Linked DNA regions of Mytilus edulis. The protein of the gene in region 1 purifies or fractionates together with the protein of each later gene. This does not show direct contact. Links are inferred from orthologs where the notes say so. Each region holds a gene or a part of one and is shown in the gene's direction. Other genes may lie near its edges.

What was found.
Region 2: the proteins of eukaryotic initiation factor 4A-III (region 1) and regulator of nonsense transcripts 1-like purify together in Homo sapiens (co-immunoprecipitation; 8 studies listed by BioGRID and IntAct, with this or other methods). This does not show direct contact. The link is inferred for Mytilus edulis from reciprocal best matches to the Homo sapiens genes EIF4A3 and UPF1.

What each region holds. Positions count from the first base shown.
Region 1 is NC_092346.1:39,352,104-39,365,083, forward strand, and holds the start of eukaryotic initiation factor 4A-III, read left to right. Parts: upstream 1-7,372; 5' UTR 7,373-7,406; coding exon 7,407-7,539; intron 7,540-8,601; coding exon 8,602-8,674; intron 8,675-9,022; coding exon 9,023-9,152; intron 9,153-9,563; coding exon 9,564-9,696; intron 9,697-11,465; coding exon 11,466-11,546; intron 11,547-12,685; coding exon 12,686-12,827; intron 12,828-12,980. Other genes in the region: uncharacterized protein, read right to left, coding at 695-894. UniProt on the Homo sapiens protein: ATP-dependent RNA helicase. Involved in pre-mRNA splicing as component of the spliceosome. Core component of the splicing-dependent multiprotein exon junction complex (EJC) deposited at splice junctions on mRNAs.
Region 2 is NC_092347.1:39,446,699-39,459,538, forward strand, and holds the start of regulator of nonsense transcripts 1-like, read left to right. Parts: upstream 1-7,800; 5' UTR 7,801-7,980; coding exon 7,981-8,154; intron 8,155-10,210; coding exon 10,211-10,368; intron 10,369-10,886; coding exon 10,887-10,976; intron 10,977-11,457; coding exon 11,458-11,667; intron 11,668-12,789; coding exon 12,790-12,840. Other genes in the region: poly(A) RNA polymerase GLD2-like, read right to left, coding at 309-411, 948-1,414. UniProt on the Homo sapiens protein: RNA-dependent helicase required for nonsense-mediated decay (NMD) of aberrant mRNAs containing premature stop codons and modulates the expression level of normal mRNAs.

The sequences.
Region 1 (12,980 bases):
TGACTGACCTAAGGGGAGCCCGCTCAAGTCATGCTTCAATGATTCCCTATATAAACTATAAACAACCTATTTTTTCCCACGAAAGGGGGACCCAGGCCCCCCAGGTCCCCCCCCCCTGGATCTGCCTATGCTATAAAAGGTGCCAAAATAAACTAAGTTGGGAAAGAGGGTTTATACTTTATAGAACTTCCCCACAGATAATAATATCAATTGAAATGAAACTGTATTGATTGACATGCTGAAAATAGAGCAGTGGCGGATCCAAAAGGGGGGGGGGGGGGGTTCAGGGGTTGGAACTAGTGTTAGTATATGTCTTAAAATATATGTATTGTGTATTTTGTATTGTAAAACTTTAATGCAATAATATGTTTGATATTTTCATTGAATACAATATAATTATTATTATTATTATCATACTATGCATAAATCTTGTCTTTAGATGCACAAATCAGTCTATAATTATGTAGTAAAATTTTGGGTAAAAATTGCCATTTTAGCAAAAGGGTCCACTTCAAACATGATCAAGCATTAAGGGGTTGTTGTCATGCATTAAAACACTTTGAAAAACAAAACATTTGAATATGTTTAGCTGCTAGTGCTATATGCATGTATTTAACTTTTTATGAAATTTGTTCAGTTTTTCAAAATCATTGTTTACTATAGGGATAAAATTCGGTCTTTTATAGAAACTTACAAATCAAGCAAAATATTCGCTACTTCAGTATGTGTTTGCAAGCGTAGAATACTCTTAAGCTCAATCCAACGATCATACTGGGTACCTATGTAGATCCTATTCTTATTTTGTTTGGCATTCACTGCAGCACGTCGTTGTTTTCTCTCTGAATCTGTCAAATATCGCTTCCTTCCTCGCTTTGAAACTTTCACTTCAGACATTGCACGTGTATTTTAGGTACAACACATGCAGGGTCAATCATAAAACAGATTATTTGGTACGGGAAGACAATAATAAGACCGACTTTTGACTCCGAAGCATATATTTTTTTCGGGTACGAGACAATTCGGCCCGAATGCCACTCGGACCGTCTACCAAAAAAAAAAACCACCCTCGAATCGTCAATAAGTCAACTCGGACCTTCTTGATAGTCAACGCTATAACGTCAGCACTTGAGCAAAGTATTGAAGAAATGAAACATAATTATCAAATGCGTGTTTACAAAAATTACCATTCAGACCGTGTGCGAAACTTTTAAGTTAAAAACAATTCAAGACATTCAAGTTACAACATTTTGCATTTTTTGTACAGGCACTTGTCTCCGAAATTTTATTTCCTTTATACCTTAATGTGTCATAGGGAAAACAAATTCTGAGACAAGTGCCTGTGATTTTTGGTCAAAGATTTGTACAATGATAGTTGTTACTTTATGTTATGGTACAAAAATCAATAAAAGAAATCAATTCGTTTTGACCCCAAATGACTTTTAAAATGTTTATATCATTTAAAAAGTTTAAAATTATCTGCCTTTGGTGAAAAAATGCCATTTTTTGCATTAAAATTGAAATATCCTTTTTAACTCATCTGTGCTCTATATATTTTATTATTATTTTCAAATAAGCTGTACATAAGCTAAACTATTGTAAAATTAAAGCGATTTCTGTAATTTAGTTCTTTTTATATTTCGATATTACTGTTTTTTTCTCCTATTAGTTCAACAGAAAAAAATGTAACTTAACAAAAATGCATGCTTCTTTCGAAGCTAGGCAGATTGTGATTCAATTCAATTCAATTCAAAATATTTTATTGTTCAAATATAAAATGTACATTTAAACAAAGGGATTGGACAAAAGGCAGTGCCTATACAAATCCTTTCCCATACAAGATGGATTGAATAACATGCATGATAGTATATAATTTTCTGATAAGTTAATAGATCATACGTTGTTGCAGTGAGTCAGGGGAGGCAATTCCCCCACTTCTTGAAGTATTTTATTGTGTATATGTATATAAATAACTATGTTAACAAAGTCAAAGCAAGACCTACTGAAGGTGGTGTCGAATTTTATACCACATTAATAAGGGAGCTACCATTTGATTTTTATGGGGGGGCTAGGATGAAAAATTTTGTCCTGCATTTTTTTTTAGCTGTAATCTCTATCCTGCCTTTTTATTTTTCACTCTGTTCGGTCCTGCCTTTTTTTTTTAGTTTATCCTGACTTTTTTTACCTAAATTGTCGTCCTGACTTTTTTTTTTTGCAAGTGTCTCATCCTGCCTTTTTTTTTACTCAAAACTCCTGTCCTGCCTATTTTTTTCAAATTTCATCCTAGCCCCCCCCCCCCCCCCCCCCCCCATAAAAATCAAATGGTAGCTCCCTAAGTGTTGGTAAGGAATCAAGTAGATCATTAAGTGATTTTTTACTCAAATTCACAAACTCACTGCAACAAAGTTGTTCTATTTATATGAATAACAAGAATTGATTGGCCCTTTTTTGCAATACATAAGTAATTTAGTGTACCATCTTATTACATGACTATTAATTTCTTGATTTTTGAAAATAAAATTACTAATACAAAAAATAAAATAAAATATATATAAATTTATTTGCAAAAAGATGCTAAACACAATTGGTTGTTTTTTGTGTTAAAAGTTAGGTTTGTCTTTAATTAAGACTAAAGAGTGGTACACTGTGGTTATAAGCTGATTTCTAAACAGTATAGTATCACATGAAATATTATAAAAATCTTCCAGTTTCATGAATATATTGTTGTACATATGTAAATATCTCTGTGTTTTCATCAATATTAAAGTCTGAGCAACCCTGTAGTAGGACATCAAGATTGACATTATTAAAGTTACTTATTTTTCTAAAGAGCTCATATCTCTGATAAATGTAAGATGGACAAACATAAAAGAAATATTAAATTATCTTCTACTGGATCTCCACAGGCACATATAGAGCTGTCTGACAAATGATCACAGAAAAGGTGTTGTTTTAGATCACTAGCCTCATTTCTTAATTGGCAGTGGATTATATTAACTTTACGTGAACCAGTGGAAAAGAAAACAGGACAAGGACTTATGTCCTCATTCAGTTTTCTTTTAAATCCTGTAAAGCTTAAAATATTTTTAACTTCTCCATCAAGTGAATTCCACTTTTCAAGAGTATGTGGAATAAAACTGTTCTTATAGGCTGTGGTTCGACACTGAGGAGTTTTAAATTCCCTTTTTTTTCCTCAGTCCATACTGGTCATTAGTGTTTGTATACGACAAGATATCAGCAGCAATATAACTAGGAATATCTCCAGAAATAGTTTTATGAAGAAACAATAATTTGTTTTTCTGACGTCTATTCTGGAGGGAATCCCAACCTAATTCCTTATATAATTTCCATCTAGGAGTTCCCTTTCGAAGCCCAGTTACAATTCTGGCAGCAGCTTGTTGTACAGACTCAATTAGATCGGATTCTTCTTGTGTGCAGTTATCCCAAATTATGTTCCCATATTCTAAAATAGGCCTTATAAATGCAATATAAAGTCTTTCCAGAGACTGTCTATCAATCTTATGTTTTAAATATCTCATAATATTAAGACGTTTACAAGCTTTTGAATAAATATCCTGTATGTGACTAGACCATTTGGCATTAGATGATAAGGTTATACCAAGATGTTTATGTTCTGAGACATTTTCTAGAGGTGCATCATTCATGCATAATGATGTGACATCAATATTACTTTTTCTCGTAAAGTACATAGATTTGGTTTTGTCTGCATTGAAGGTTACACCCCATTCTCCTGCCCATTGATCTAATGATTCTAGATCTTGCCCCAGGGATTCAGCTGCTGATCTCTCATCATGTACAACACAATATAGACAAGTATCATCTGCAAACAGTTTTATTTTGTTTGTAACCACATCTACTATGTCATTCACAAACAATAAAAACAGAAAAGGGCCCAAGATGGACCCTTGAGGGACTCCTGCCTTGACAGTATTCCAGTTAGAAAAAAAACCATTTACTCCAACCCTTTGTTGTCTATCAGAAAGATAACTTTTGAACCAGTTAAGCAAATTACCCTTTATTCCATATTTTCTTAACTTATATAGAAGTCCCATGTGCCATACACGATCAAATGCCTTTGACACATCGCAAAAAATAAATCTGACATCTTTCCCTTTGTCAAGATTTTTTACTATCTCATCATATAATAAAAGTAACTGATTTATAGTAGAGTCCTTGTTTCGGAACCCTGACTGTTGGTCAGTTAATATTGCATGATCATGTATATAGTTATGTAAATACTTAAAAATAATTTTCTCCAATATTTTGCTAAAACAATTAGTAACAGAGATAGGTCTGTAGTTTGAAACATTGTCCTGATCTCCTTTACCCTTGTAGATAGCTGATACATTTGCAAGTTTCCAATCACTGGGAACTATTCCTGATTGTAAGCTTTTATTAAATATGAATGTTAAAGGTGTAACCAGTGATGGGAAAATTGCCTTAAGAAATTTTGGAGGTAGCTTGTCAGGTCCAGCTGGTTTGTTAATATTTAAAATTTGGAAATGGTCAATCACATCCTGCTCTGTTATCACTATGTCAGACAGCTCATAGGGTGTCAGATTGTGATCTTAAATGAACGGTGACGCCATATTGGTTTTTTTTCTTTTTTTCTATTAAGTATAGGATTAAGCTTATGTATAGAAAACATTGCGAAATCCTATATTTAAAAAAAAGATGATTTATACCCGCAAGTTAATAAAGGGGAACTATTTTTTTATAAGTATAAAACTGAGAATGGAAATGGGGAATGTAGAACAAGAGTTTGTTGACATTTTCGACCCTGACTAAGTTCTGCTTTGTAGATCTTTCACTGAACATTTATGTTTTTACCGTTTCTCTTTATATCTATTATAGATTGTGAAAAAAGTCTGCAACAATGGAAAACATCATTTTTCAATGGAAGTCAATCCTTTTAGGAGTAAAAAACGAAAAACTATCAAAAAGGCAAAAGCTCAAATGAGTTGACATGTTTTTAGAAATCTCATTGTTCTGGTCATTGTTTCTGTCTCTGTTGCTGTTTTTTTTTAGAATCCAAAGAATTCGAAATGAAAAAAAAACATTATACAAAACACAAAGACTAAGCATCACGAACCCCATCAAAAAAAACGAGGATGGACCTTGATACTCGTCATGGTAGGAAGACATTAGTACAGGGCGGCTCTTGAATATTGTATCAACTAGGAGTGTATAATATATTTGCAGTCGCTGTCGGAACTTTGCTACATGGAATGGAAAGTTCACAATTGGGAAGCTGTGATTATATCTTTTGTCGTAAAGTTTTGTTCTCAAATGACCCTTGTTGCCAATTTCTAGATGTAAGCCAAGATATAAGGCAAACAAATTTTCTATGTTGTGATGTTATGCTATTGTTTCAGAAAAAGGGTTTGATTATATCAAAAGAAAAGATAAGGTCACCGTGCGTTTTTCCCCATTTAAAATACAAACAGCAAAATTCCATGTAGATTCCTTCAGAAAATGCAATATCTCAGAGTTACCTCCCCTTAAATTGCTAATTTAAAAATATTAAAAATCAATCAACACTTTCACAAATATTAATATTTATAAGTTATAATCTTATAAAGTTGTTTTTTAAATGTAAATTCACATTAGTAATCTGCATTCCTGCATCAAATTTTGCTAACTTGATTGAAAATCTGGACCTTAGATTCTCTGTTTTTTTACAATCCAAGATGGCGAAAAACACCCATACCACCTTAAAGTTGGTTTACGCCATCATATTTTGTGCATGTACCAAGACAATTATAATCGAAAATCAGGCAGGAGATATGGTGGACGATAACCATTTTTTCAGTTTTGCTCTTTTTGTACAACCTAGAAAAAAAAGGCAACAGATACCAAAAAGACAATTAAAATTCATATAAGAGGGTGGTAAAGGGTTATTTTCGTGCAAAGTGATCACCGTTTTTTATTTCACGTTCAACGTGTTTTTACTTTTTTATTTGACGTTCAGTCGTGCAAGACGGGTGCCTCGTTCAACGTGTTCTGCTTATTTAATTTTACGTGCATCGTGATTTTCAAAGTCTTATTGTGCGTGCTCGGTATTTTTCAAATAAAATTCAAACACTTGGCAGGGATCGTCAAAAAATACTTTTTTAAAAACCGTAAACCAATTATATCATAAATGTGTATACTAAATCGGGAATATCAAGTAAAACAAAGAGTTAATATATACAAGAAGACAGTGACTCAGTCACAAAAGGTTCAAATAAAAGTATTTATTTTTCGTGCAACGTTCATTACAAAAATTATTTCATGTTCAACGTGAAATTATGTCTTATTTCACGTTTTTTTTGTGCAAGCACCCCCCCTTTACCACCCTCATATAACCAAGGATTTGAATAGTAAGGAGGTCTTACTATACAAATCCTTGATATAACGAACAAAACAATGGCAAAATGAAATGCGACGAAAACCGGATAAACTGACACCAAAAAAATAGAGTAAAGAATAATGAGGTGCTTAAGGAGGCTCGCGGGTATAAGATTTTCAGAAAAAATTAAACATTAATTTTTCATTACAAATTTTATTGATTACCTTAAGTAGCTGTTACTTTATCATATGGTACAAAAATCATTCCAAAAAATCAATTCGTGTTGGCCCCATCGGACTTTTAAAATGTAGATATCATTGAAAAAGCTCCAAATTATCTCCCTTTGGTGCAAAAATGCCATTTTTTGGCATTAAAATTGAAATATCTTTTTTAACTCAACGGTGACCTATATTTTTTATTGTTGTTTTCGAATAAGCTGTACATAAACTAAATAATTGTAAAATTTTATCGATTTCTGTAATTTAGTTCTTTTTTTATTTCGATATAACCGCTATTTCTCCTATTAGTTCAACAGAAAAAAAGGACATTAACAAAAATGTATGCTTCTTTCGAAGGCAGATTGTGAGCGTAAATGAACGGTGACCCCATTTTTTTATTTCATTTTTCTATTAAGTATAAGATAAAGTTAACTTATAGAAAAATATAGAGAAATCCTATATTAAATAAAAAAATTCATTTAGACCCGCGAGCCCCCTTAAATGAAAAGAAGAGAGATTAATGGGCAAAAAGTATAAAGAATAGAGAAAAATAGCATAAAAATTTACAGAAATAAAGGACCCCTATTGATAAAACACGAAGGGATGCAGATGTGTGATGCAGGAAGATTTTGAAAATATTATGATAAATAAACATACGTTCATAGTTTACTTGTAATCATAATTTAACAATGTACTGGTAGCTAATATTTATAATACTTCCTATGCTTTAGTGCTTTGATTGTTTGGTTAAAAGTCGTAATCTATAGTGCGCTTAAAATCAATGAGACAAAATAGTTAATGACAAGAAAGTGATTGACACGGATCAACAAATTTGCAAAATGGCTGGAAGACGCGTGATGACCGAAGATCTCAAAAATGTTGAATTTGAAACCAGCGAAGAGGTTGATGTTACACCAACGTTTGATAACATGGGTCTTAGAGAAGAACTTCTACGAGGAATATATGCTTACGGTACATACATTAATTTATGAGAGAATATACGAATAAAATTGTGAATGGAAAAAATTATGGGGACAACAACTCGACCATGGCATAGAGCAGACACCAGGCGAAGGCCACCAATGGGCCTTCAATGCAGCGAAAAACTCTAGCACCCAGAGGTGTCCTTAGTTGGCCCCTAAACAAATATGTATACTAGTTCAGTGATAATGGACGTCATACTAAACTCCAAATTATACAAAAGAAACTAAAATTAAAAATCATACAAGACTAAAAAAGGCCAGAAGCTCCTGAATTGGTACAGACACAAAAATGTGGTGGGGTTAAACATGTAATGAGATCTCAACCCTCCCCTATACCTATAGCCAATGTAGAATAAACAAATGCAGAACAATGCACAAAAAATTATAATTGTATTTGTTCACTCGTGTTGGTAGTTGGTTTTTCTTCTTCTTTAGTTATCAGCAACGGAAAATATACCATCACACTGTTTATATCGTTTACATATTAGTTATTAGACAGGCTTTACTTTATTGATAGGTAGATTCTGCTTATACTTTGTTGCCCACAGTTTTGGTTGCCCTTTCTTTTAAGTAGTTTTCTACATGATGTATGTTGTGTTTTGTGTACTGTTGTTCATGTTGTTTGTCTTTTTCTTTTTTAGCCATGTCATTGTCATTTTAGTTCCTATTTAGGCAGAAACCATTTGATTTTCAGGGGGGGCTATGGATTCTTTTTGATACAGTTTGTTTCCAGTTTTTGGAGAAAAAATTATTTTATTTTTGACCCTGAGAAAATAAAATGTTCGTTTTACCCTCAGCTGCCACCATATGTAATTCTAAATTGAAAGAAAAAAGTTGTTTTCAACTTGCCGCCAGAAAAATAGATCTTTCTTGCTGAAAAAAAGGTTGTCCAGGAAAAAATCCATAAGCCCCCCAGAAAATCAAATTGTTGAAATAGCTGTCTTATGCATGTTATAAGTATGAATGTCCCTATGGTCTCCTTTGCCTCTCTTTTAAAATTCTTAACAGACATTCATGTCATAGATTTATTTTATTGTTTAATTATTTGTAGGTTTTGAGAAACCATCAGCTATTCAACAAAGAGCTGTCAAACCTATTGTGAAAGGAAGAGATGTTATTGCACAGTAAGTCAGACTTATTGAGTGTTTTGGTATTCATCCTATATATGGCCCCAGGTGCTTACAGGGCAATTCTTCTATCCATTTTGTAATTTACTTTTCAATTTCATAAATAAGTGAATTAGATCTTCTTTTATATATCTTATAAACAATATAATCTGTATGGTAATTAGAATACACATTTTTAATTTTAAAGTTTAAAATGATTAAATTAAGATAACATAGCTTGTAATTTTTGTGTGAACGAAAAAAATACATTGAGATGGTTTGTATAAGAACTTCTGATAAGCCATGTCAATGAAATGATGTCTTTCATGCATTCAACATTTTATTACTTTAAATAATTTTTTCTAGAGCTCAGTCTGGAACAGGAAAGACAGCAACATTTTCCATATCCATTCTACAATGCCTGGACACACAAGTCAGAGAAACACAAGCATTAATATTATCTCCTACTAGAGAACTTGCTACACAAATTCAAAAGGTAACAGTGTCAGTTTAAGTTCTAATATAAACATGATAGATAATGGATAATAAAAAGTATTTCAGTTTTACTTTTTGTTGGGGAAAATAGTTTAAAGTTCAAAATATACAATAATTACTTTGAATCTATATATACATGTAGCATAATATCTTCTCTTTTTCCATTAAAGAATTTAAAACATAAGTCTTCATTCAAACAGGCATGGTTATACATTTGATGAAATTCAATGGGGTGTAGTATTTCAACAGCAGAAAATGTTTTGCTTTAAAAAGTAAAGCAATGAATCTTAAACTGTCGTTTTTTTTTTTTTTTGCCATGGGATGTCATTTTCTTTTAAACTTTATTTAAAACTGGTTTATGTAAACATGAGGAAGATGCTAGGTCTGATTTAATTCATCTTATATATGACAGGTTATCCTAGCTTTGGGGGATTACATGAATGTACAATGCCATTCCTGTATTGGAGGGACAAACATTGGTGAAGACATCAGAAAACTAGATTATGGTCAACATGTGGTATCAGGAACACCAGGCAGAGTCTTTGGTAACTTTTAACTATAAATTAAAAACATAACTACATAAGAGGTGTTATCATGGTTTACCTCAATAGTTTTAAGAAGATGTGGTATGAATGCAAATAGTGTTTCCTGCAGCTTTTAAAAAGGGCAGGGTAATTGTTAGCTCAGAGGGCACATTAAGCTCGATGGACAACAATTTTAGGGCACTTACAATGTACTTAATATAAACAGGCAATTACTATAAAATGGATTCATTTAAAACATACTAGTTTAATGCTATAAAAAGGACATATAGGCTACATCTGTAATCAATCATTAAAACAAATTGTTAAACAAGAAAAAGTGTTTAAAACATATATATGAAATATTTAAAACAATAAACATAATTAAAAACAAAATCAGTTTTTTAAAAATGTTTAAAAACAAGAAAGAACTACATTGTATGTCATATATATAAAAATATTGCTTTGGTCATATCAATTGTCATTGACAAATCCTCCTTTTTTTCCCTAAAAACAGGTTGACACATTCCCTGATATCCAAATCATCTATTGATTTGGTATTTGCTGACACTAGAACAAGATTGTTTACAGTTGACACATTCAGTCTATTTCTGCGTTGTGAAACTGTCATTTGGTGCTGAAAATAAATAAATTACACATAAAACAAGAATATCTTAAATAATCTGGAAGTTTTTTCATAAATTGTTCCTTTCTTAAATTAATTCAAATTAAAAACTGAAGATTTCTGAAGTAAATTTAAAAAAAATAATTTGATGAAAAAATGAATTAATTGAAAGTAATTAATATGCAAGTGATTTCATGAGATCCTCGGCCTAACTCAACTTTAACCTTAAATTATCCCTTTGGCAGAAGTTTATTTTTACCCCCGAACTGACACCGTTGCAAGTGCGTAACCATTTTGTAATAAAAATCTACAAACCTTTGAAAAAATGATAAAAGCTTTCTGCATTTTGCGGCCTGTTTCTCATTTTCTTCCTCATGTTTTCGCTTCATCCGATTTGTTGATGGCATGATTAGTATCTGTATTCACTATTCAATCTATTGCAGTTTGCTAATCAGCTGATTACGAAATCGATTACAAAATGGCGTCCTAGTGAACTTTGTTTACGTTTGAAGGGAAATAACTTGAGCGGTATTCATAAAATATGTCTTTCAGTACCGGTTGTTAATTACGACGATAAACTGATAAAGGCATGGCGTCAGGAATTTCGACAAAATTAGGACAGGGCGCCAAATTTTTTTCCCAAAAAGGGCAGGGCGTCGAGAAATCGCGACTGGGCGCCATTACACGCCAAAACCACCTGTAGGAAACACTAGCAAATGAGACAACTCACATCCAAGTCACTATTTTTAAAAATAAACCATTATAGGTCAAAGTAAGGTCTTCAACATGGAGTCTTGGCTCACACCGGACAGCAAGCTATAAAGGACCCCAAAAAATTACTAGTGATGTGTAAAACCATTAAAACAGGAAAACCAACGGTCTAATGACTCTAATCATTAACCAAATTAAAAATAAAGAATGAGAAACACTTATAAACCACACATCAACAAACGACAACTCCATAAGATGAGTTATTATGCTTTACCTCTAATACATTTCTGAACCACACCCAGAACAAGTTGATATGACTTATTATTGTCCTATGTACACACATATTCTTGTTACTTTTGTTTGATCATATTATTATTTGTAATTGAAAACATCTTCCCTTTTCATTCTGTTTTTTATTTTTTTATTTTATTGTATGAGATTTGACTTGTCGTTACAGATATGATAAAAAGAAGAAATTTGAGAACAAGATCAATTAAGATGCTGGTGCTTGATGAAGCAGATGAGATGTTAAATAAAGGTAATAAGGCCGAGAAAAAAAAGATCGATGTTTCCGGTAACCCGACCGACCCTGTTTTTTAGCCACGACCCTAACTTTTTTATTGGATCTTCAAAAAAAAAAAAAAAAAATTGTATCAACCGACCCCGTTTTTGACACAGGCTTCTGATAGATGACAATATTTTTTCTCTCTTACTTCTACTTGCATAGAAAGCCAGTAAAACATTTTATTAATGTCAAAAGGTATTCCAAATAGGTTAAAATCCAAGAAATTTGCACAGCAGGTGCTTCAAAAACATTGCAAATGGCACACTTCCGGTTTTTGAAACTAATTACGGATCCGGACTTGGAAAAACCATGATAATTTTCCGGATTTCATTTACGATGTCAAAAAAAAAAAGAAAAAAAAAAGAATTCCGACCTACCGACCCTATTTTTCAAAATGATGATACCGGAAACACATATCTTTTTTTTTAGGCCTAAGAGAACGTAATGAAATTATTTGGTACCATTCATAAAAAAACAAGGGCTAATCCAAAAAAAAAGAAATAGGAATTGAATATGTTTGGTTTTTTTTATACCACATCACCCATGATTTTTATTTTTCATTTGTGGTAGAATTGTATTTGCTTTCACTCCATTACCAACAGAAAATCATGTAATGTCAAACTCTTTCAACGGAATAGCCCTAAATGTATAGAATTGAATGTTGTTGTCTTGATGGAAGAAAGTAGCCAACTTATCATAACTGTATTCTCTGTGGTCACTTAAATAATCGCAATGAACATATTACGAGGATTTTTTACAATTTCAACAGTAAAAAAAACAAAAAAAACTGATTCATATCTCGTGTGATCATGGCTTAACCATAACTACACATGTATTACCAATGTTATTTCAAGTGATCGGGCGGAGTATATGTTTTAATTTGCATAAGGACAGTCTATTTGAAGATGTGTGTGATAAGGATGATTGCCGTTATAATTATTACTGATTTCTAATCACTTATCAGTGTCATCAAATGAATTTACAAAACAATGATTGCACACTTTATTGATGAGTTTATTCTAAAACACCAAGGTTAAGATGGACATATTTCTTTGTGAACAGTTTATTTGTACACATCGTTTGTAGTTTTATTATGTATATATCTTTTTCAGGCTTCAAAGAACAGATCTATGATGTATACAGATATCTGCCACCTGCCACACAAGTACTCTTAATCTCTGCCACATTGCCACATGAGATTTTAGAAATGACCAGTAAATTTATGACAGAACCCATCCGTATCTTAGTCAAACGGTAAAACCTTCTTTTATATTTTGCAAAATATATGTTTAAAGTTTCAACCGTATTTTATTTAATTTGTAAAGCATTTGAGATCTCTATTACTTTGAACTTCCTATTTACATGATTTATCAAATTTATTTGTTTTAAAATTTATAATTTATTTCA
Region 2 (12,840 bases), on another chromosome or scaffold:
TTTGTCATTTTAGACTAAAATGCGATTTTAATTTATGCGATGTTGAAAAAAATCCTGTTTAATTCATATAAACAAATTCAAAACGTGAGTTTAAATTATTGCGATTATAACCCTGTCGTATTTTTTGCAATAATAAAAACATCGCAATAATTTCTGAATTTACAGTATTTCATACAACATGTACAATTTCAATTTCACATTTTATGACATTTTCCTGAAAACAAGTCTAGGGTATTCCATTTGTTTTTACTCTGACATGTCTGAGCATTTCAATTTATGAATCCAAAGTGACTGTGAGTAACATTTACCTGTGAGTTTGATGAAGACTTGGGAGTTGGTGGTATCCTGAGTATATAATCTTGTTTAGATCTTTTACTTTTACTTGGTGAGTCATCATCATCTGATTTTCTCCTAAAATGATAAAGTTTAAAGTATTGAGTCAGCTTTTGAGGTATCAATGGAAGCCTCCCAATACTTAATTATCATGATTGTGGGAAAATAGAGTGCATGCTTTCTCATGGTTACCATGCCCCTACTAGAAGTTCAATGTATCAGAAAACAGTAGTGCTCAGTAGGGTCTGAAGAATGTGTGAAGCAAAATTTTTAGATCTTCATGAAATTTACTTCATTTGAAAATAAGTATCTGCAAACAGAAAGAAGATACCTGACAAACTGGAAAAGTACTCTCAAACTATAGCATGGTTTCTATACATGTAAACCACAAAATCATGGGAAAACAGAAATATTCATTTCTTCAAACTGCACTAATTTTACTTCAAATATTTGTTCTCACTTGGCCAAGTACCAGAATGTACTAATGACCTACATGTACCACAGATATTGACAAAAAAGGTACATATAACCTGTAAAAAAACTACAAAATCCAGAGTCAAAGGTACATTTGTGTAATATGCAAATGATCTATTTAAATCCATTGTGACACTTACTTTTTATTGGAATTATTGGCATTGAAAGCTGTGTAGTTTGGATTGTTATGCAGTTCATCATCCCCTACTTGGATATTTAGTTGATTAATTATATCTTGTCTTATATTGTCACGAACACTAGAATAATTGTCCTGTTGCTGCCAGTGCCTCTGTTCAGGGCGACGCCCACCAGGGAAAGGGGGACGTCCCTGAAAACGTGGGCGTGGTCTAAAATTTTGTTGCATTGGCATGTTCATGTTGTAGTTTTGCATGTAGGCTGGAAATTGCTGCTGCACATAATACATGTAGTTTTGGTCCTCAAACTGAGGATTGTAACCTTGGTGATACATTGTTTGTGAGTTATTATCAAGATATTTATCTGCAGTACAAGTCCACTCAGATTTCAGTACAGCAATCCATTGAAGAAGTCTAGTAACCACCGACTGTTTACGAGAAAACTGTATTTGACCCAAAACACTGCATGCCATAAAATCTGAAAATAAATAATTTACATAATTTAATTGAGAAAAAGTGAAGGGATTTCTAAATAAATGCTGCTATATTTTTAGACAAATAACCAACACTTAAACTATGTGTGTAACTGAACATTGTTGAACAGAGTGTGGACAAGTTGGGGTTTTAATCTCCAACATGTCCAAGTGGGATATAATTTTACTGAGCAAAATCATTTTTGGGGATTCAAGGGTTAACATGAATATTCTCAATTTAACGGGATTAAAATAAGTGCAAATAATTACATCAGAAGTAATAACTTTGATTTGGCATCTTTTCTCAATCAACAAAACAGAGTGTTTTTAAACGAGTTGGATCTCTTGAAAGATGCAGATTTTTAAGAAGAATCAATCTACATGTAGCAACATTTCATTTACTGGAAAAGTCAAATGTTGAGAGTACCCGGTAGTATGTAATTCATGTGTAAGACTTTTGATGTTAATATAGAAAATTAGGTGTTTTATCTTATTTAAGGCTTTGATTTCTAAAAAAAAAATACAAAAATGTACCAATTTGATTCAGTTTTTTCCAACTTGCCAAATAAGGGGAGATAAATCAGATAAAGCAATTATATAAAGGAAGTGTTGTGAATTTAATGCTTATTTCAATATCTAGCATTTTTCTTTTCTGAAAGCAAGTCCCAGAGCTATCTTTTCACATTTTTTTCTTCAAATTCTGTCATGTAGCAGGGCTTTCCATTGAAGCCGGTAGCCGGCGGAAATCCGCCGCTTACGGTGGCTTCAAGTGCCGGCTATTTCACTGCCAAAAATATAAATTCAAAAAGAAAAAAATATCTTTTTCAAATGTTTACAGGCAGCCGAGAGACGTTTGTCGCAAAGTCGCGGTCACGATAAACAAGAATGAAAAGTCAATGTTTACCGTGGGCTAAATATAGTTCACATGAATTCAGGTCACTGATTGGTTGTCTATTTAAAGTCAGAATGCATCGTTTCTTTTCAAAGATAACAAGAGAGACGTTCCGGTTGTCATTGAAAGATAACAATAGAGACGTTCCGATGGTCATTAACTCGTTGGCTTTTTTTGGCTTTTAAAACGTGAAGACAATCAGATAGGATGACAATCTTATGTTATGGAATAATATTAGTCAAATTAAAGAAAGTTTAGTAGATCATATTGTTCAGAATCTGGAAAACAGTATCTTTTGAAGTTCATTTTTCAAAGCCCACGTGGTGTTCAGAGAATCAAGGTCAAAAACGAAAGTAGAATATTGTCGACTCGACCTCAAATAAATAACATTTCCAAATGATTTATGTATCCGACTTATTGAACATTTTCCCAAAAAAATAGAAAATCAGAGGATATATCAATTTTCTGTCAATGCTTGAGAAATAATTGTATGATTTAAATACGCGTAACAGTCTTTAGAGAGAAAAGGGGGGGGGGGGTCATTTGTTTACAAATGCACGTAGTTATGCAAAATAAATAGATCAAGATTTCTAACATATCGGATGATTATTTAAATAAAACTCCTTTAAAAGTAAATGAATTTTAAGCATAAGGTAATGAAAATAAAAAACTGACATAAAAAAAATGAAATTTCTTGGAGTTTTTTTTTTTCTTTCTTTAATTTCATACATAAAAAATGGTCATTTGAAAGATTAAATTAGGTGCCAAGAGATTGCGAGAATGCAGGATTTTTCTCTATTTATGCCAGAGCTTCTGGGGGCCTTGAGCGGCCCCAAGACCCCCTGCCGTAAGGCACCAAGCTTACAGCTTGGTGGGCGTCCGGCTTCGCCGAACGCATGTTATAGCCGCCTATAATTTTAATTCAGCCTTCTACTTCCATTTTAATGGAAAGCCCTGATGTAGTTTTCTTTTTATCACACAAAATGGGATTTTCCATGCATAATCTATACACAAATATAGTCAAAATCTGACAATTTTGCACAACCTGAAATTGACCTGTAATGTGAAAAATATTCATGTGATGCATACTTTTATTACATTTTTGAAAAAAGCACGACAAAAACTACATTTTGACAAATTATTAAAAATTTCTATGGATTTTAATTAAGGCTTCCCTGCCACCTAACAGATGTTCCTTTAGGCTCTGAGAAGTTTAATTTCAATCAGAATGACAGAATTTTCTTCCACTTGGAATTAAATTGTAATGTATTAATAGTAATATTTAAACACATATATGAAAATGACATCCTAAACTCAGACTCAGGCACCTGTACGTTGTTGAAGCTAAAGTCTTAGAGCAGTTTCAAAACCTAACATTAGTAGTGACAGTCATTTGTCAAAAAAGTTGTGACAGAGAAATGTTATGCTATAATCATCATGATCATTGTGAAATTGATATATTTTGAGTATATGCCCCTTAGCATTGAGGATCTATGATTGGTCAATAAAAACTTTTATCTTGAATCTTGCTTCTTTGAGTTTGACAGCCAGTTTACAGAATTAATAATTTGCGAATATATGTTTGTTATTATAAGCTTTTGCATGTATATCCTATTACTCAATCGGTTAAATGATCCTACTCTTATCAGCTTATCTTACTTCAGGTTTCGAAGTAACCGAGTCAATTTTGTAAACACAGTTCAACGTGGTTTAGGTACCTGTGCACAACGTCACTGATATTGAGGGAACCCAAATTCGAATAAATGCAAGATTTCACAAGTAAAATGAACGTTGTTACAATGCGTATAAAAATACCACTATACAGTTAAAATTGTATCACTACATAAAAAAATCAATTATGGAATGAGCTGCCAAACCACATAAGACAGGAAAATTGTCTAACTCAATTTTCCAATCTAATACAGAACTGGAATGGCAGCTCATGCCAATGTAATGCATGCCATTAGTGATTGATACATAGCTTTGCTTCCCCCCTTTTTTTTATATATTAATACTAAAATTAGCTAGCTATGGTTTTATATTTCTATCTGCATAAACAGTACTATTTTATTTCCTTATGTTATGTATGTGCTTTCAATAAAACAGTACTATTTTATTTCCTTATGTTATGTATGTGCTTTTAATACCCTGCTTTAATGTATGTATGATTGTCTTAATATGTGTGTTTTGTTTACATATTATTTGCTTGTGTGTAATTTATTATAATGTCGATTTTAAAAGCTTAAGAGCTTGTGTTACTTTGTTTACTATGCATCGACAATAAATAATAAAACTTTGATTTGATTTGATGATACTGTTACTTCTAATTTTGATGGTCTATTGGTTTGTATTGTTGGTTTTCGATTGAAGGAGGTTTTTTCAAGTCACAAGTTCACGATCTGGGACTTAAAGTGTATTACCCTATTACAAGTCAGTGGCGTAGCTAGGTCATTTTTGCGTGTACGCCCGAACCTCGGCGAGGGGTCTGAAGACCCCAAACTGATCCATGTCAAACAATTTCTGGTAGTGGATTAGATCTAGGGAGCGAGGCCCCCGGAAGCTAATGAGTTATCGAGAATGAATACCATTCCTGTCATTAAAAACTCATCAGTATCAACATACTTTAGAATCTAGATGGTTTATTTGTTATGTTAAATTATTCATTTTGTTAATTTGAAATAAAATAGTTATTGGATTCAGAGATAATGTCAAAACAAGTAGCTTTTAAATATGTTTTAAAAGAGCTGTGAGGGTAAAGCCAGGCGCGTAGCTCCCTATACGCTAACACGAAGTTGCGTGCACATCGATTCGGCATGCAAAAAAAATAATGGCAAAATAAAAATTTATCAATTGAATGTTAAAGGAAACACGTATGTTGTCACTTTTTCAATTGATAAAATATCATTAAATAACGGCATTTGGTTTCAAAATAAAAGTTTTATTGGAGATGATGGCAAAATCGGACAGTAACTTGTATCTTTTACAAGATTTGAATTTGTAATACTGAAGTCTTTAGAAGACATGTAGTTTTGGAGCACATTTTACAGTGTACGGTTCATCAGTTTGGAATGAGATGTACCAATCGGCATTGGAATTATCAGGTCCCTTCGATATAATTGAAAATATGCCGAGGCGATGTGGTCGGCAGACTACCTGAGCCAATCACCCTGCAAACACGCCAAAACAGTATTGGAAAGTCTCATTATGTTTTGCGTTCATAGACCATATGATAAGGGAACTGGAGAGTGGAGTCGCGTACGTCTAGTATTATCAGAAAATCGCTTCTTTGTGCTGTATCTGCTTCATCGTGTTGTAGGAAATATAACAGACGAACAAATCTCAACATTGTCTGAGACATACGAAACTGACCTGGCATGTAATTTTGACGAATTTAATTGGGAGGTCGCTCGATGCCGAACATGTACGCTGGTTTATAACATCTTGCGAGTGCTACCATGGAGATCTATCAGTGTACTACGTATGTTGAAAACAAATGTACGATCAACAATGAACAACGACATACAGTTACTGCATATTCATCGGTATTTCAGTGTGAATATTGACAAAGTAATAGAGAAGTTTGTTTCTGCCTAGACCCGAAGAGCAGATTTTTGACGATTTTGAGTAAATTCTGTATCACAAATATGTTTTCTTTATGTATTACTCTATTCAGAAGATTTATTAATAGTTTTACAATAATATTTTTTTTATAAGTCCTCACTACATATAGTGCCTCTCATTAACCGTCCTTTGACCGAAAACCGAAAAAAAACATTTTTCTGCAAAAAAAATTTGGGAGTTGCTTGCACATTGTTTCTTTCTAGCTACGCCCCTGAAAGCAATTAACCAATTAACAAAATCACCTTTTAATTTCCAAATTTCGTAAATGAACATTAATCTTCAGAGATTTTCAGGTGCAATAATAGATATCGTAAAGGGTTCTGTGGAATGCTGTTTTTTTGTGTCAAGGATTCCCCCTGCAAATAGTGAATCCATTTATCATTCCATTACAGGATTTTTAAAAAATCCAACATTTTCTTTAGATATTTTGTCTTGATCTTGAGTACTAGTTTTGGCCCAAGTTTCATGATAATTTATGAAGATTGATGCATTGATAATTTATAAAAAGCCATATAGGATCGCTATGTCGCGCTTTGGCATCTTAAATACAAATGTATGTCACAGGCTCAACAAAACTGTAAACCACAAAACGATTCTAAGGAGATAAAGGATTGCTTAAAACAAAAGGGAAGGGAGTATAAAACTCACATTAGCTTCAGACTTGACAGAAAATGAACAAATAAATGATATGATTCCATTTGACTGAAAGTAAATTTTGTCAATTTTATTCACAATTACAAGCCAACGAAGAAAGAATTATAAAGCTGATGTGCTTCTAACAAGTTATTTTTATTTTCTTTAGATTGCTTTTTCAATAGCCTTGGAGAAGTCCATATATAATTAAGCAATCTGTTTGCATTCCTTCGTCTAGGTTTTGTGTAATATCATCTATGAAGGGCATTATGTTTGTCTGAGTGGGACATGATGTTGTTGGTTAGGTAATTACATGTATGTGTTCCATGATTTTGCACCTGCTATACACGTTAAAGATACCGTGGACGGTAGTTTTCTGCTTTGTACTTTTGACCTTTTTTTGAAGATAGGACAAACGTTGGCCATTTTCCAGTCTATTGGTAATTCTCCATATTCATAAGAGTTTTGGAAGATGATACTGAATATTGGTGTTATTTCGGTGGCTATACGGTTACGGTTTAGAACCTTAGCAGATGTAAGTTGGTCTCAGTGGTCCATAAGATATAACACATAAAACTTCAGTAAGAGTCGGTATATGCAATTCAAGTAAAAATACAAGCTTTGAAGAGCTTTTAAAAGCAGCTGCCGTGTGTGATCGATTTAGACTTTATTAGTATTTTCAGTATTCCATGCATGACATATCTGCCAGTGATGTTAACTTCTGGCATAGATGGATAATTTTTGTTTGAAGATCCACATCTATCTTGGAATTCCTGGTTTGAAATGCTTGTTCTCCCAGAAAAAGCAGACTGAAACTGTTGGTTAATTGTATATTTGCTTGATCATAATCTAACTTGACTGAGGATCTTGAAAAAATAGGGTCGACTACCCTATTTTTTCAAGTCAGTGGTAATTAAGACTGATTTCTGCTAATAAGCAAGCTAACCAAATACTCTACCTTAACCTACATACTCAATGCATTCTGCTGTATAAAAAAAGAATATCCATTAAATCATAGTATTCATATATATATAACATCACGAAAGACCAAAGTACATATGCATCTATCATGAGTCATGATAAAAAAAAAAACATATTTTATCTTGTACAACACTGAAGCCATATGTTTTGCACCATTTGAATGCATATCGGTAGATGTATTTATGTATTATATTTCGATATAATTTAGAGGCACTTTACAGGCTCAGTCCTGTGTTTCTACAATTTATTTCTGTCTTTTATTCATACCGGAACGTCATCATAATTTGTTGTGGTAGTGACGTCAACGGCCTTGGACACAAATGGCATGAGTTAGGAGGAAACGCATTCCGACCAATTATTTCCCGTTATTGACATGAATTAAGAGTCAACACGTTAAACAGATATAACAAAGAACCGTTTGTAATCAAGCGATGCCAATATGAGTGTTGACGCTTACGCCCCGAATTCCCAAACGTTGACATTCCTTGAAACAGAGGAGGATCTCCTTGGGGCCGACACGCAAGGAACGGATTTTGATTTCACTGATTTTACGCTCCCGTCTCAGACACAATCTCAAACTCAAGCATCACAGCTTGACTCCAATCAAAGCCAGGTAAATAAGCATGTCAGTTTTCTTATCAGTTTAACTTGTCATGGAACGAAAGTATGCAACACGTGTGCAAACTTGATTGACTTTCAGTTTCAACGAGTTTCATTCATGGCAATCATACATTTAAGTGTATACAATAAATCAAATATTTATAGTATTTACATTCCGTCAAATTACATTCATTTTATCCAGCCCTTTCAAAACCAAAAACATCCTTCCAATTTGAGCTGTCTCAACTAACACCTACTACTACTAGTACCAGCAGAGCTCTAGATAAGCTGCGTATATGCCTGATCATGCAATATAAAGAAAACAATTGAAAACCCAATACAAGTGCCCATTGCAGCGTTCAAACACCCAATTCATGCAAACATGCAAAGGAAACCCCTTTTGACATGATTGAATGTGAAAACCTTAAGTCACTATCGTGTTATCTATTACATTGTCGTTGTGTAAATCTACATTTGTAGTTTTGTTATATTTATAAGTGGAAATGTCCTTTTGTTCTTAAAATACAATAGAGTGACACCTCAAGTAGTTGCAATGGGTCCCTGTTTGAAGTTTCTGATGCTCAAAAAGTACATGTGTTGAAGAAAACAGGTTTCGATCTTCTCTGCGTAATCAGCGTAAGTCATGTCATCATATTTAATTCTATCGTATTGATCAGAATTTATCTAACACATGTCAATGAATTAAAGCAAAATAAAATTTGATAAATATTTAATAGAACCATGTCTCAATCAACTTGAAAGTAAGTAGTACACATGTTCCCTAGGCTATGATATGATCTTCTAATTTCAATGCCAAATAAAGACATTTGAACCCAATTTCACGGTCCACTGTTCAAAGAAAATGATAGTGCTAGTAGGGCATCCGTGTGATATTGGGGTACAAGTCAAATTGGCATCCGGTTAATTCAGCACCCACAGAAAAAGTCAAATTGGTACCTGGTTAAATCGGCATCTAGTCAAATTGGCACCTATTTGAAGTCAATTGGGCATCCAATTATATTTGATATAAATATATATAAACTATTAAAAAAATGAATAAATGATCTTTCTATTTCTGATTATTTTTAGTTTTTTTTTAACATTAATGACTCAAAATTCTATGACTCAGACTGTTGTTTTGATAAGTTTTCTTTTCAATTAATTAATTTTAAGAATTCACTAGTACCTATACAAATCTTTGTTGATTAAAAAGTCAACCAAACCCATGTCTTACTAGCATTATTAAAAGAGCTGTACATCAGTGTACATTGTATCTCTATAGAAGTAGTTATTGATGTTTTTTTTTTTCTTCATTGAAAAACTAAATAAAAAACAATGAAGCCTTTTCGCAAGATGTTGTTTAATCATGAGAAAGTTAGAAGTAGTAAGAGGGAAAACTATGAGTCCTTTTCATTAGTATCACTAATTATATGTAATTCTAAGGTCGTTTTGCAGGAAAGTTTAAACAGCATTAAACCAACAATCATGCAGAATGCTCATCTGGTTGAAACATGCATAAAAAATATCTTACACCTTTAATACACTCACATTAATTTGAACGAAAAATAATGCATACAAACCCCCCCCCCCCCCCCCGAAAATGTAAATTGGTCAATATTTTGGGACAACCCCTTCTTTATTTTAATCGATTTGCTTAGAATACTGCCGAAAAATATATATTAATTGATATAAAATATATAAGACATATTTAATATGGGTGCCCAAATTACTACATCAGGTGCTGATTTAACCAGGTGCCAAATTGACTAAGTGCCCATTTAACTATACTGGGTGCCGATTTGACCAGGTGCCGATTTGACTAGAATTCGACACATTCTTGTTTTTGAAAGGTTAAGAAATTCATGAACTACAAATATAGGACCCTTGCTAAACATGCAATTTTAGGCCACAAAGATTTTCTAATATTTTGTACAATGTACCTTTCTTCAATGCTGAGGATTGTAACTTGACATGTTGGATAGACTGAGACCTATGTTTTTCTTATAAATGAGAATTGAAGTTTTATCTTTTTGAGATGTGTTTGTAACTTTGTTTATAATATTTATCAGGTGAATGGTATAGATGGCAGTATCCCTAATGACGTGGATGCGAAAGGTACCATCGAGGTGAAAGTTAATAATGTTGCACAGGGAGTTGGGGAGCTGAACTTTGAGGAAGATGAAGAAGAACAGTTTTGTATGAAAGATCTCCCCAAACATGCATGCTCGTAAGTTCTCTTAATGATAACTATTAAAAGCTATAAACATTTGAAGTATATGGCTTATAAAGAATAATCATGATCTATAAATGTATTAGTTGGAAATGGGCGACAGCTTAAGTAAAGAAGAAACAGTGCAGTTTCATTTCAAAAATATGATGATAATCTTCCATGGCAATTTTTTCTAAATAATCTTCAGAGATAAAAAAAAATTGTAACAGAAAGGTGAAAAAACTAAAAGGACATTAAAACTCGTAAGTTGAAAATAAAATTACAGTACCAAGGCGAAAAAAACAAGACGACAAACAGGATACAAAACATGAAGAAGGTACAAATTTTATGTAATTAATTCCTCAATCCAAATACCTTAGACTTTGTATAAAAATTCACTTGTTAGGCAGGCACCTGCTACATTTTGTACATGTATTATTGACTATTTACCAACCTGATTTCAAATGGAAGTACAAGTTACAACTTCTGCTCTATTGATTGTATACATTATATTTAAACAAGGTTTTCTATTATAGTTACTGTGGAATTCATGATCCAAGCTGTGTAGTATTTTGTAACAGTACAAAGAAATGGTTCTGTAATGGTCGTGGTAACACCTCTGGAAGGTTTGTATTCTTGTCATTTATGAAGATAAAAAGTCATGGTATTATCAAGATTTTTCTTGAAATATAGAAATGGTAGAGAAACAGTTGAAAAATCTGTAAGAAATGTTAGATAATATTTTCCACTTTTATTTTCTCAAGCAGGGGTATATAGTGATCCTCCATTTGTTTGGTCGGGAATTTGTCTGTTCATTCTTTTATTTGCTCATCAGCACTTGATATGATATACCCATCTTCTAAACCAGTGGCTGTATTTCACTGAAATTAAAAAATAAATAAATTATATCCAACATCTTATATAGCTAATGGAATTGTAAAGCAATTCATGCTTTGCTTAGTAAAATTTTCAGAGCTGTTAGTTTCAGATGGGTAAACAAACTTAATTCTAGTAGTTTAATTCTTTGAATTTTGCGATAAATTGTATGCTTGATTGTTAAAAACTAGCCAATAATAATGTGTTAAATGATACTACCTATAATTGTAGCCACATTATCAACCATTTAGTGAGAGCCAAAGCAAAGGAAGTGACACTGCATAAGGATGGACCCCTGGGAGAGACAATACTGGAATGTTACAACTGTGGATGTAGGAACGTCTTCTTGTTGGGTTTTATACCAGCCAAGGCAGATTCTGTTGTGGTCTTGTTGTGTAGACAACCTTGTGCTACTCTGTCCAACCTCAAGGATATGAACTGGTAAGTAATCAGTCTTGCTCCCAAGCCCACTAACCCAGACTTTTAAAAATTATCTCGACAGACCAATAGAATCCAACTACTTTTTTCGTAAAATTATGCTTTTGGTCTGAAGATTTATACAAGTTTATTGTGAAGATTTTGCCAAAATTAATTTCCTGTACAAGTTAATACATGTAGTAGTTTGTTAGAAAACTAATATGCTGTCTATCATGAGGTATTGATCATTGGAAATCAAGATATAAGTGCAGTGAGTCTGCTTTGTGAAAACAAAAGTTCAATCATCCACTAGAAGGCAACATTTCTTTGCAATTTTAAGTTTTAGCTTTTGTAGTATTTTAGATTATTAAAACAAAGTTCTTGACATGTGCCTTAATTATTATTTAATGACTAGCATATCTGCTCTTTGGTTTTGGTATTTGAAAAAAATAACACAAATTTTTATGCCCCATTTGTGGGCATTCCTGTCCCAAGTCAGGAGCCTGTAATTCAGTGGTTGTCGTTTGTTTATGTGTTACATATTTGATTTTCATTAATTTTTATATATAAATAAGGCCATTAGTTTTCTCGTTTGAATTGTTTTACATTGTCATATCGGGGCCTTTTATAGCTGACTATGCGGTATGGGCTTTGCTCATTGTTGAAGGCCATACGGTGACCTAAAGTTGTTAATGTTGTGTCATTTTGGTCTCTTGTGGACAGTTGTCTCATTGGCAATCAAACCACATCTTCTTTTTTATATATTATGTTTTCTGGTCTGTGCGTCCGTTCGTTCAGCTTCAGGTTAACGTTTTTGGTCGAGGTAGTTTTTGATGGAGTTGAAGTCCAATCAACTTGAAACTTAGTACACATGTTCTGTATGATATGATCTTTCTAATTTTAATGCCAAATTAGAGTTTTTCCTCATTTTCATGGTCCATTAAACATAGAAAATGATAGTGCGGATGGGGCATTCATGTACTGGGGACACATTCTTGTTTAGACCTGATTTCTGACAAAAAATAAAATAAGACTTTTCAACATTACACCAGAATTGTCAGAGGGCAAAATGGCAGAATTGTCTTCAGGTGATTTTTATGATACATAGCAGGCTATAAAAATTCTTATATTCCATTTCTTTTACAGGGATCCAAACCAGTGGCAGCCATTGATACAGGATCGTCAGTTCCTGTCATG